2 linked regions of the Arabidopsis thaliana genome follow. The protein of the gene in region 1 interacts with the protein of each later gene in a biochemical or structural test. Each region holds a gene or a part of one and is shown on either strand. Other genes may lie near its edges. The genes, in order: CP29 and DEG1.

What was found.
Region 2: the proteins of CP29 (region 1) and DEG1 form a complex in vitro, tested with the Arabidopsis thaliana proteins (one study listed by BioGRID).

What each region holds. Positions count from the first base shown.
Region 1 is NC_003074.8:19,818,595-19,823,589, reverse strand, and holds CP29 (chloroplast RNA-binding protein 29), read left to right. Parts: upstream 1-2,070; 5' UTR 2,071-2,166; coding exon 2,167-2,553; intron 2,554-2,701; coding exon 2,702-2,866; intron 2,867-3,213; coding exon 3,214-3,687; intron 3,688-3,786; coding exon 3,787-3,852; 3' UTR 3,853-3,898; exon of another isoform or gene 3,899-3,922; intron 3,923-3,989; 3' UTR 3,990-4,354; downstream 4,355-4,995. Other genes in the region: AT3G53470 (2,3-bisphosphoglycerate-independent phosphoglycerate mutase), read right to left, coding at 292-572, 648-777. UniProt on the Arabidopsis thaliana protein: Stabilizes specific chloroplast mRNAs. Required for normal chloroplast development under cold stress conditions by stabilizing transcripts of numerous mRNAs under these conditions.
Region 2 is NC_003074.8:10,364,920-10,370,697, reverse strand, and holds DEG1 (DegP protease 1), read left to right. Parts: upstream 1-1,753; 5' UTR 1,754-1,833; coding exon 1,834-2,255; intron 2,256-2,344; coding exon 2,345-2,467; intron 2,468-2,625; coding exon 2,626-2,797; intron 2,798-2,918; coding exon 2,919-2,956; intron 2,957-3,183; coding exon 3,184-3,382; intron 3,383-3,500; coding exon 3,501-3,653; intron 3,654-3,756; coding exon 3,757-3,891; intron 3,892-3,961; coding exon 3,962-4,039; 3' UTR 4,040-4,089; exon of another isoform or gene 4,090-4,349; intron 4,350-5,029; 3' UTR 5,030-5,046; downstream 5,047-5,778. Other genes in the region: AT3G27930 (beta-galactosidase), read left to right, coding at 91-132, 249-325, 420-510, 602-683, 775-847, 937-1,105. UniProt on the Arabidopsis thaliana protein: Serine protease that is required at high temperature. May be involved in the degradation of damaged proteins. In vivo, can degrade beta-casein.

The sequences.
Region 1 (4,995 bases):
TGAGTTCTACCATCTACGAAAACCGTTTATCATTCATTTTTAACTACTGTAAACATTTTCAACGGCAAAAAAATACACGAATTTCTATAAACTTCAGGGGATTAATCTTGATTTCGGCTCATGATCTATCTCGGTTATTACAAAAACAAAAAGGGCTCTATTATACTGCGTTTTTATTTGCTTGACTGTAGAAACTGCGATCTTATTATTTGGCAAAAGTAGTAATGCATATAAACAGTAGAAACAACAGATTCAGAATCTGATCTAAATGAAAGATGAATGAGATTATTATCACTTGACAGGAGCAAGAATGGTGTAGAGAAGGAGGAATGAGACAATGACGATGGCTCCAACAAGTGTGAACCTTGGACTTGTCCAGAGCATGAGATTGGATCTCTCTGTTCTTTTTATAGGATCGACTTCTTCCGACAAATCAAACTCCGATCTGGGAGGATTCCAAGTCACGTACTTGTCCACGTTGAATTGCGAGAACAATGACTTCTTGCTCTGCTTCTTGAAATTCTTCCACGCCTTGTCCCAGTCCGTCGACGCTTTATCACCACCACCACCTGCTATAAACCAAATAAAACCGAATTTAACCGATTATAATCTACCAACGAACATAAGCTTCGAGATCAGACTCTCACCGTTGGACTCGTTTCCCTTTCGAGGAGGTTCGTTGTTGGAGCAACGGAATCTAGAGGAAGATGAGAATCTAGGGGTTATCCGGATTAGATTGGAGGATTTTAAGCCGGAGATTCGAACAGTAATGTCCATTTTCCGATTTCGGTACGGACAAAATAAGAAGAAAAAGTATCTGACTGTTGTGTTCTTCTTCTCTTCTTCGATTCTCCGCCGGACAATGTTCCTTAGCCATTTTCAATCTCTTCTTACGTCTTCGCTAGCGACACGTGGCTATCAATGGGACCCATTCTTATTATGAATCTGAACCGGGATGGTTATTAAACGGTTAAATTCGGGTTTGGGAAATACCCGATCCCAGACTAGACATCTCCAGCTTAACCGGCTCTAATAAGTAACTCTTTGCTAATTTTATTCATTATCCAAACCTAAACCTCAGCAATGGAGAGCTAGGGTTTATCTCTCGGATCCATTGTCTCCTGAATACAGACGTGAACCGGAGAGGAGGCTTTGGGACAGAATTGATGATTTGGTTCGAGAAGATGGCATCTTCTGGTAGTATTGACTATTGAGCCTAATGCTACAACAGTTAGTCAGTTACATACTCTTCCTTAACTTAAGCCGGAACACACTATATTTGGAATCTTAATTGAAAATTTGTGCAAGGCTTACTCATGACTATAAATTCATTTTTGTTGCCTATTATTTTTACCTTTGATTTTCATTTCCAACAAAAAGGAAAAAAACAAACAAACAAAAAAAATCTGGAAAACAAGTGAAACTGTATCAATATTACATAAACCTCAAAATTATGGTATCAGTGGTTACTTAATAGTTAAGAACGAGTTGAAGATCCATACTGGAGCCTCAGTGTACAGTCTCTCTAGTTGCATTTTTTCCTTTGGCTTTTAGTAATGGCCTTATCTTCTCACTAGACCCACTCTCTTATTCCTTCTCTTTAATCTACACCGTCCATCCAATTTGGACGCACCAGATCTTATCACACATACCATTCACTTCATTGAAAAATTACTATATAACAGAAAAAAAAAACTCAATTGGTTTGAGTAACTCTTCTTTTAAGCTCCTCAAGCTTACTGTAAAAAAAAAAGTATATTTGAAATTTCTAAATTTTCAATATAATTATTTATTAATCTGTTTTCATTTCATTAGTAAACAGTAAACACAACATTTATATTTGTGTTGTCATATTTTCGTACTTAATGAATCAAACAATAAGATCAATGCTATTTTTATATTTTATGTAACAAAGTAACTTTTATTTTTACCAACTCTTTTGACTGACACAGATTTTAGTAGGTAAAAAAAAAATCCAAGTGGGAGATATTTCAAGTGGATAAAGATTTTTATTTTTTGCAAAGAAAAAACGAAAAGTTCCATTTTTTTTGCCAATAAATATCAAAAACTGGACTTGTTATCTCGCAGAACCCTTAAACCTTATCTCTTCACCACCAGCTTCTCAAAGCTTTAGCCTCGAGAGCAAAATTCTCTCAAGCTTTAGCCATGTCTGCCTCTGCTTCTTCCCTCTCTGCTTTCAATCCTAAATCCCTTCCTCTCTGCGTCTCCAGACCCGCTTCCGTCTCCGTCTTACCTCCTTCCCTCTCCTTCAAACTTCACTCCGACCACCTCGTCTCTATCTTCGCTTCCTCCGCCCTCAAATGCTCATCCCCCGCCGAGTACCCGTCGCGTTTCGTTAGAAACGTTGCTGTATCTTCGGATTTTGAGGTGGAGGAAGATGATATGTTCGCTGACGGTGACGATTCAGCGCCTGTGGAGCGTAACTCCTTCTCTCCTGACCTTAAGCTCTTTGTTGGTAACCTTTCTTTTAACGTTGATAGCGCTCAGCTTGCTCAGCTCTTTGAGAGCGCTGGAAATGTTGAGATGGTTGAGGTAAGATAAATTTAGGTTTCTGTTTTCAGATTTGGATTAATTATCTTTCTTAATTGGGTTTGAATCGTTTTGAGTAGAGTTAAAGTGAGAACATAGCTAAAGGTTTGAGATTGTTTTCATTTGTGATGAAATGAGTTTGATATTGTAGGTTATCTATGACAAAGTGACTGGCCGGAGCAGGGGTTTCGGATTTGTGACAATGTCAACCGCAGCGGAAGTTGAAGCAGCAGCTCAACAGTTCAATGGCTATGTAAGCAGATACTTGTGTTCGCTACTGTGTCTTTACTTGTTGATAAGAGTTTTGTGTGGACTTGTTTGTTTATTGAGTTGCTTGTATTGTTTCTTGTTCTTGGCTTGTGTGTAATGTGGAATTCCATGAATTGGATTGTATGAACGTTTGAGATAGAGAAATAGTGTTGTTTATCTTCTGTTTGGTTTGTGGAGACTTCGTGGTTGATGTTGTTTTATATTCTGCTGATAAGATGCATCTTCTTCTAGGTTGTTCGTGTTTCTCATTTGGGATATAAGTAGCCGATTTAGATTTGTACATTTGTTTTTGTCACATTGTCTTGTTGTTCATACCTTCAAGCTTGTCTTTTGGATTTCTTACATTACTACACTGGCTGTTTTCATTAATCCTGTTGATTTTTAACATTTCAGGAATTTGAAGGCAGACCTTTGAGAGTCAATGCTGGCCCTCCTCCACCTAAAAGAGAGGAATCCTTCTCCAGAGGACCAAGAAGTGGAGGTTACGGTTCTGAGCGTGGTGGAGGTTACGGTTCCGAGCGTGGTGGTGGTTATGGTTCCGAGCGTGGTGGTGGTTATGGTTCCGAGCGTGGTGGTGGATACGGTTCTCAACGTAGTGGTGGTGGTTACGGAGGGTCTCAACGTTCCAGTTATGGTTCGGGGTCAGGGTCCGGTTCGGGCTCAGGTTCAGGAAACCGTCTCTACGTGGGCAACCTTTCTTGGGGTGTTGATGACATGGCACTTGAGAACTTGTTTAACGAGCAAGGAAAGGTAGTTGAAGCTAGGGTTATCTACGACAGGGACAGCGGTAGATCCAAGGGTTTTGGATTTGTGACACTTAGCTCTTCCCAAGAGGTTCAGAAGGCGATCAATTCCTTGAATGGAGCAGTAAGTATCATCACTTCTCTTCTTTGCATAATAATTTATTCGATTGGTACTTCTTACTGTAAATATCAAATATCTAACTCATGTGTTACTTTCCTAAAGGATTTGGATGGAAGACAAATAAGAGTCTCAGAGGCTGAGGCTAGGCCACCAAGAGGCCAATTTTGAGCGGTCACACCTCTTTCATATTCTCAAAAAATGCAAATTCTGGAGGGTAAGAATCGCAATTCTCAGCCATGTTCTGCTATTTCCATTCTGAATCATATATTGCCTTGCTTAAGACAGTTGAATCTCGAATGTAACAGGTTCTTTGAAGCATATAGGGTTAGTGGAAAATGGCGGTTTCAGACAGTAACTAAAACTCACTGCTGGTGCACGCTAGGCTTTATCCGCCTTTGATGCATGAAGGTCGTTAAGGAATGGTCTTTTTTTGAGAAAGATAACAATTAGATTAAAGCAGAGAACCCATGTTTCTTGTCTGTTCGAATCCTGCGAGATTGGTTGTAGTTGAAGTTGCATTTTCTTCTTGTCTTTTTTGTTGGTATTTTGACACAATTTGGCTTTTTGGCATATGAGAGTGACTGTAGCAGTCTGTTTTATTTGATGTTCGTGATCTTCTTATGTTCTGAAAACCAGTTTTCCTAAAACTTAACAAATTTCGATATGGAACAAGAAATTTTCTGGAAGGGTTTGATTGTGTGAGGTTGTATTGTCAGTTCTCATATGAACCCAGTGCATATGCTCTGGGATTCAAAACTTTATAGTTTGGTGTAATCCGTATTATATATCCCAATTTTATTAAATGGGCCTAAACGCTAGTACAATGATGGATTATACCGCTAAGAGATTGAAATGGGCCTAAACTCTGAGATTGATTCGGACTATATTCTTCAAGCACGGCCCATTGACACCCCTTCTAATTTTCAACACTAATACCAATGTCAATACATATGGTGTGCGGATGTCACGTGACGATGGTATCTTCGACGTCATTAGGTGAAAAAAGAGAATATTTATATTATTGGTAGAACGAAAAGGTAAGAACAAATGGGGCATAGCAATGACCGAAAGCAGAGAAGAGAAACATTGAAGTGAAGAAATGGAAGATTATGTCTCAAAAATAAAGAACACAAGAACATAAATGTCACTTTGCTCTTTCACCATCATACTTCCACCACTCTTCCTGCCTACAAGTTAGGCCTTTTACTAACTCTTTTTTCGTTTTGTCTTCGTATATCAATCAACCACCATGACCCTATACACGTATGTTATAGATATGACGTATATTATTAAGGTTGAGTAATGTTATAG
Region 2 (5,778 bases), 9.5 Mb from region 1:
CAAACGACCACATTATTTATCTAATGGCATATCATCCATTTTGTAGCATTTTTAGTCTTGCTGATTATGTTATCTTTCTTGTAAATGCAGTTTATTGCTTCGTTCTACCAACACGTAGTGGTCCAAAGACGGGTACAACTCTTTCAAACAAGTCCTTTTTCTGTGCTGCATCTTATACTAGTCTTCCATATATAAAGTTTAGCACATCTTTGGCTCAATATGAAATCGATTTAATGGACTTGGAACAGGTGCAAAATCCTTTCGAAGAAAACCAAGTAGTTGGAATCACAAACTACATTGATTTTGGTTTTGAGCTACAATCGAGGTAGTGAACATCTCTAAGTAAAAAAAAAAAAAACATTGTAGCTACTGTTTGTCTATACAGAAACAGAACTTTATATTTCGTCTTAATATTGAAGGGTTGATGATTCCAAGACGCCACCCAATGCCCCAGATTCTTTATTGCAGGTGGCTGCGTCTTGGCAGGCCAACAAGAACTTTTTGCTGAAGGTATAAAAAAATATTTACCTTATCGAGTTACTCAAAAAGAAACCATTTATCTCAAATTTTGCTCAGTATGTAACATTTTCAACTTTTGCAGGGTAAAGTCGGAGCTCATAGCTCAACATTGTCATTAGCATTCAAGTCGTGGTGGAAACCGTCTTTCGCATTCAATATTTCAGGTATGCGTTGATAAATAACCTGAATGCAGCGAAATCAAGATGAACATAGGTTCTTGGTATTTGAACATGTTTGGACTCATTTTTTATGCAGCAACAACTAATCATAGGACTGGAAATGTCCAATGTGGGTTCGGTCTACGTGTTGATAACTTAAGAGAAGCCAGGTCAGTCCATTTGTGACAAGTTTAAAATTAAATCAACCCTCTTTAGCTTCATGATCTTCTTCACATTGTTTTATTTTGTGAAATTGCAGTTACCAAAGAGCTGATCCAAACTTTGTAATGCTGACACCGAACAAAGAACATTTAGCTGAAGGGATTGTGTGGAAAATGGGGAAGAGACCAATGTATCAAGCCGATGTGGACGCAGAGAATTTTAGTGAGCTGCCAAAAGAACTTAGACCGTCCCAGAAGATTCTCTAAACTACACCATTAATCTTTTTGCACTTTTATCTAGTAGATTTAGATATCAACCAAGTCAAGTATTTAATAAGTTCGACGAAAGAAGAATTACTTAGGAATAACCATTTTTACTCTTATGGAGTACAAGTGTTTAGTGTTCAAAATTAGGAGTGGATTATCTGGTTTAAACTCTTAAGTTTGGTCTTTTTGGGCTTTTGATTTTTCGAAGTTCTTAAATGAAGCGAAATCCTGATTTGTTTTTGGACTTTTCATTCGGTTTGGAACGATATTTATATGGGATGATATATTACGGGTGAACAAATATCAAACAAAAACAAAACAAATAATATAAAGAAATACAACTTAAATTTAAAAATTTTAAAAAATCGATTATTGGTGTACTACGGGTTATGGATATAAGTAACAACATTCTTTATAATATTTACCATAATAAAGGTTACTGTTTAAATTTATTTTCAAAGTACAAAAAGTTTTCGATTCAATTTGATTCGGTAACAAAAAAAAGACCCGGTTTTGTTTATTCCAGATTCATAAGATCATAAAATAGTGGTTTACTAAACAAATTTCAATTCAATTTCGGTTCGATTCGGTTACGTATACAAAACCATAGCTTCGCATAGAAAAACCATTATTTTCAAAAATTAATATTTTTAATTACAAAAAAAAATGAAATAAAACAGAGACCACAATCCCATTGTCCCATGACCAGAAGAAGAAGAAGAAACTAAATGGCGACGACGACGAGTTGTTCGCTTCTCCTTTCTTCCACTCTCTTCCTTCACTCTCCTCCTTCTTCTCACCTCTCCTTCTTCAATCTCTCTTCTTCACGATCCTCTCCAATTTCTCTTTACCCAATCCGATCCAAACGCTATTTCCGAATCCTCTCGAAGCTTTCACTAAACGACAACAACAGAGACGACGATGATGATACTCTTCATTTTACTCCGTTCTCCGCCGTTAAACCTTTCTTCCTCCTCTGTACCTCCGTCGCGTTATCGTTTTCACTCTTCGCCGCTTCTCCCGCCGTTGAATCTGCCTCGGCGTTTGTAGTTAGTACTCCGAAGAAACTTCAAACTGATGAGCTCGCGACGGTTCGTTTGTTTCAAGAGAACACTCCTTCCGTTGTTTACATCACTAATCTCGCCGTGAGGTATCTGAATTTGATTTCTCTCTGGTGAATTTCGTTTTGAATTTCTTCTCTCCGTGATTTGAGGATTGGTCTAATGTTGTTTGAATTAGGCAGGACGCGTTTACATTGGACGTTCTTGAGGTACCTCAAGGCTCTGGTTCAGGATTTGTGTGGGATAAGCAAGGTCATATTGTTACCAATTACCATGTTATTCGTGGTGCTTCTGATCTCAGGTTAGTTATGTTGAAACTTTGAGAATCTGATTGATTTTTGATAGAAATTGGAATTAGTAATTGTTGTATTCTTAGTTTTATAATGAGTACATTGTTTCTTTGGATGGTTTCTTTTGATGTTTGTGTATGATAAGGAAGTTGGATGATGTATATAACAGGGTCACTCTTGCTGATCAAACAACATTTGATGCAAAAGTTGTTGGATTTGACCAAGATAAGGATGTTGCAGTATTACGTATTGATGCACCGAAAAACAAATTAAGACCTATACCTGTTGGAGTCTCTGCTGATCTGCTTGTTGGCCAGAAAGTCTTTGCCATTGGCAATCCAGTGAGTATACATCCTTAAAGTGATCATAGATTAAAGCTCTGCTTTGTGTTTTCTATTGCTAGCTAGGTCAATACTTATGTTTCTTGTTCATACGCACTAAAGCAAGAACTTTTTTGTGCAGTTTGGACTTGATCATACTCTCACAACTGGTGTTATAAGGTATGTTAAATTATATTTGTCTTCTCTTTTTTTTAAGTTGCATTCTACTCTAATCAGATGTGTTCTTCTCATAACGAACTCACAAATGAAAGTGTCAAAAAAGATGATTGGTACTTGAGGATACTGGATACATATATTTTCTCTTGCCCCTCTTCATGCCAAATGGCTATACTATTCCTTTTCTCTTATTAAAACTGTAGCATGTTTGTGCATTATGATTTGTACAGTGGTTTGCGAAGAGAAATTAGTTCTGCTGCAACTGGTCGTCCAATTCAAGATGTGATACAGACAGATGCAGCCATTAACCCTGGTAACAGCGGAGGACCTCTTCTAGATAGCTCAGGAACGTTAATTGGTATAAACACAGCCATTTATTCTCCTTCTGGTGCATCTTCTGGAGTGGGCTTTTCGATCCCAGTTGATACAGTGAGTTCTCTCTTCTTTTTTACCCATTGCAAATCTGATCAGATAGAGTCTTTCTCTATCATTGAATCCACTAACGGGAGACTAAAGTTGTTTCGAGCTCTGTTTCTCTCATGTTCAGGTTGGTGGTATCGTTGATCAGCTGGTGAGATTTGGTAAAGTCACCAGACCAATCTTAGGTATCAAATTCGCACCGGACCAATCTGTTGAGCAATTGGGAGTGAGCGGTGTGCTCGTCTTGGATGCTCCTCCAAGTGGTCCAGCCGGCAAAGCCGTAAGCTCTTCCTGTTTCCAAGTTTCCATATAACAGATATTTTCTCTATGTTTCACTCCGCGGTTTTAATATTGAAATGTGTAAAATTGGTTTTGTTCCACAGGGACTTCAGTCAACAAAACGTGATGGTTACGGGAGACTAGTACTAGGAGACATAATCACGTCGGTGAACGGTACAAAAGTCTCTAACGGGAGTGATCTGTACCGGATTCTCGATCAATGCAAAGTCGGCGATGAGGTAAACTCCGCAGTTTTTGTCAATTAGTTTCTGCATCCGAGATAGTTTTGACACTGATGATGTTGATTAGGTGACCGTAGAGGTTCTAAGAGGCGATCACAAGGAGAAAATCTCTGTAACTCTCGAACCAAAGCCGGACGAGTCTTAGAAACGTCGTTGAAAGAAGTAAATATACATAACGTGTAGAAAAAAAGTCCGGTGGGTTATATTTTTGTATATCAATTGTTCGGAAAATAGATCGTCCAATTGTGTACATAAAATCTGTTTATATTTGCATACATGCGAAAGGTAACCGGAAATAACCAAAATTGCAATGTCTTCAAACGGTCTTATGGTTTGGATTGGTTTTTAATTTCGGTTCAGACATTGGGAGTGACGAGTCTGACACCTAGAAAAAATCAAAATGAGAAAAATGAAAACCGAATTTCGTCGGCTTAATGGACAGTTACCTCATCTTAGCAATGATGCATAGTACTGATTTTGCGGCTTTGTAGTACCAAATTTTTTTTTCAACACTCTCTCGGATGCATAGTACTGATTTTGCAATGATGCATAGTACTGATTTTGCGGCTTTGTAGTACCAAAATAAAATTTCATGATTGTGCGGCTTAGCAATGATACATATTACATAGTACATTAGTACTGATTTTGGACCTTTATTTTAGTCGAGACAATTCTGAACTTACGGATTCCGAAGTTAACAAAGTCCTTTTATAGCTTTTATTCAGTTCCGAACATGGTTACTTTTTATACATGAAACTTCCTAAAATTTTACATCTACAAACATTCGAGTTTGAAAATTTAATGGTTTGATTTTCGACTCATTACCAAGAATTTCTTTTTGATATTATTCTTCATGATTTATCAAAAGATGTACGTGTATTATATGGTTATGTCTTGAGTTCATGTCATGTGTTCGAATCTTTATAATATAGTCTTACACGGTTTAGGTTATTTGTTCAATTGTTAAGTCATTTTACGGTCCCTATTTCACATTATGTTAGTTTTTTAAAATATTTAAAACAACGTACTGTAGTTTTGATAAATTATTGAGTTTTTTTATTAAGTTGTGAACGCATGCTCTCGTTGAGAGATCATTTACTCGAGCTAAGTTATGACTTGGATGGTTGTGTTGCAGGTGAAAGGTAGCTTTGCAAAAAAAAAAAAAGTTTGAGGTTATGTCTGCATGTTTCCCTGTATACAAACTCAACCATTTGTATTTTATTTTTTGGGTGCAAAAACTATAATTTACGTAGTTTTTGAACACTTTCATAACATCAAATATTACCCACGTGATAAGTGAAAACGAACCGAATATGTAATGATCAGCGAAGGTCCCTACGTGGAATTTAATATTTGTGTCATTCTTTTTAAGCAACACCAACAAGACACTGACATGGGTTGGTATTTATAAATTTGCAACGTAAAGTATATGTAGTAAGATTGTATCTTCTATGGTTGGGACTGTATCTAAACCAAACCGGTTTAATAGGGTATATATTTTTTTTGTCTTTGTCTTTGAATTTGTGGGGTCATAAATCACGGGCATCTTCATTTGGAAATGTATTCATAGTAATGTATATAAACTACTTTCGAGCCGACTTGGTAATGATTACGAGAATCCTCTGCTTTTGGAGTAAATTTCTAATTTAATATGTACGTGTATCTAGATATATATACGACGACATGTCGTTACCCAAATGCTTCGTTAGAGGATAGCTTGTTGAGAACTTGACTATGCCAATCATATATGTTTGTTTGGCTTTATGTAGCCCCAATATTAACAACTTAATACTAAAAAACCTAATAACAAAAACATTGAGTAAAAAACTACAGTACTTATAAGTAAAAAGAATAATGATAGTAGCTACTTCATATACATAATTT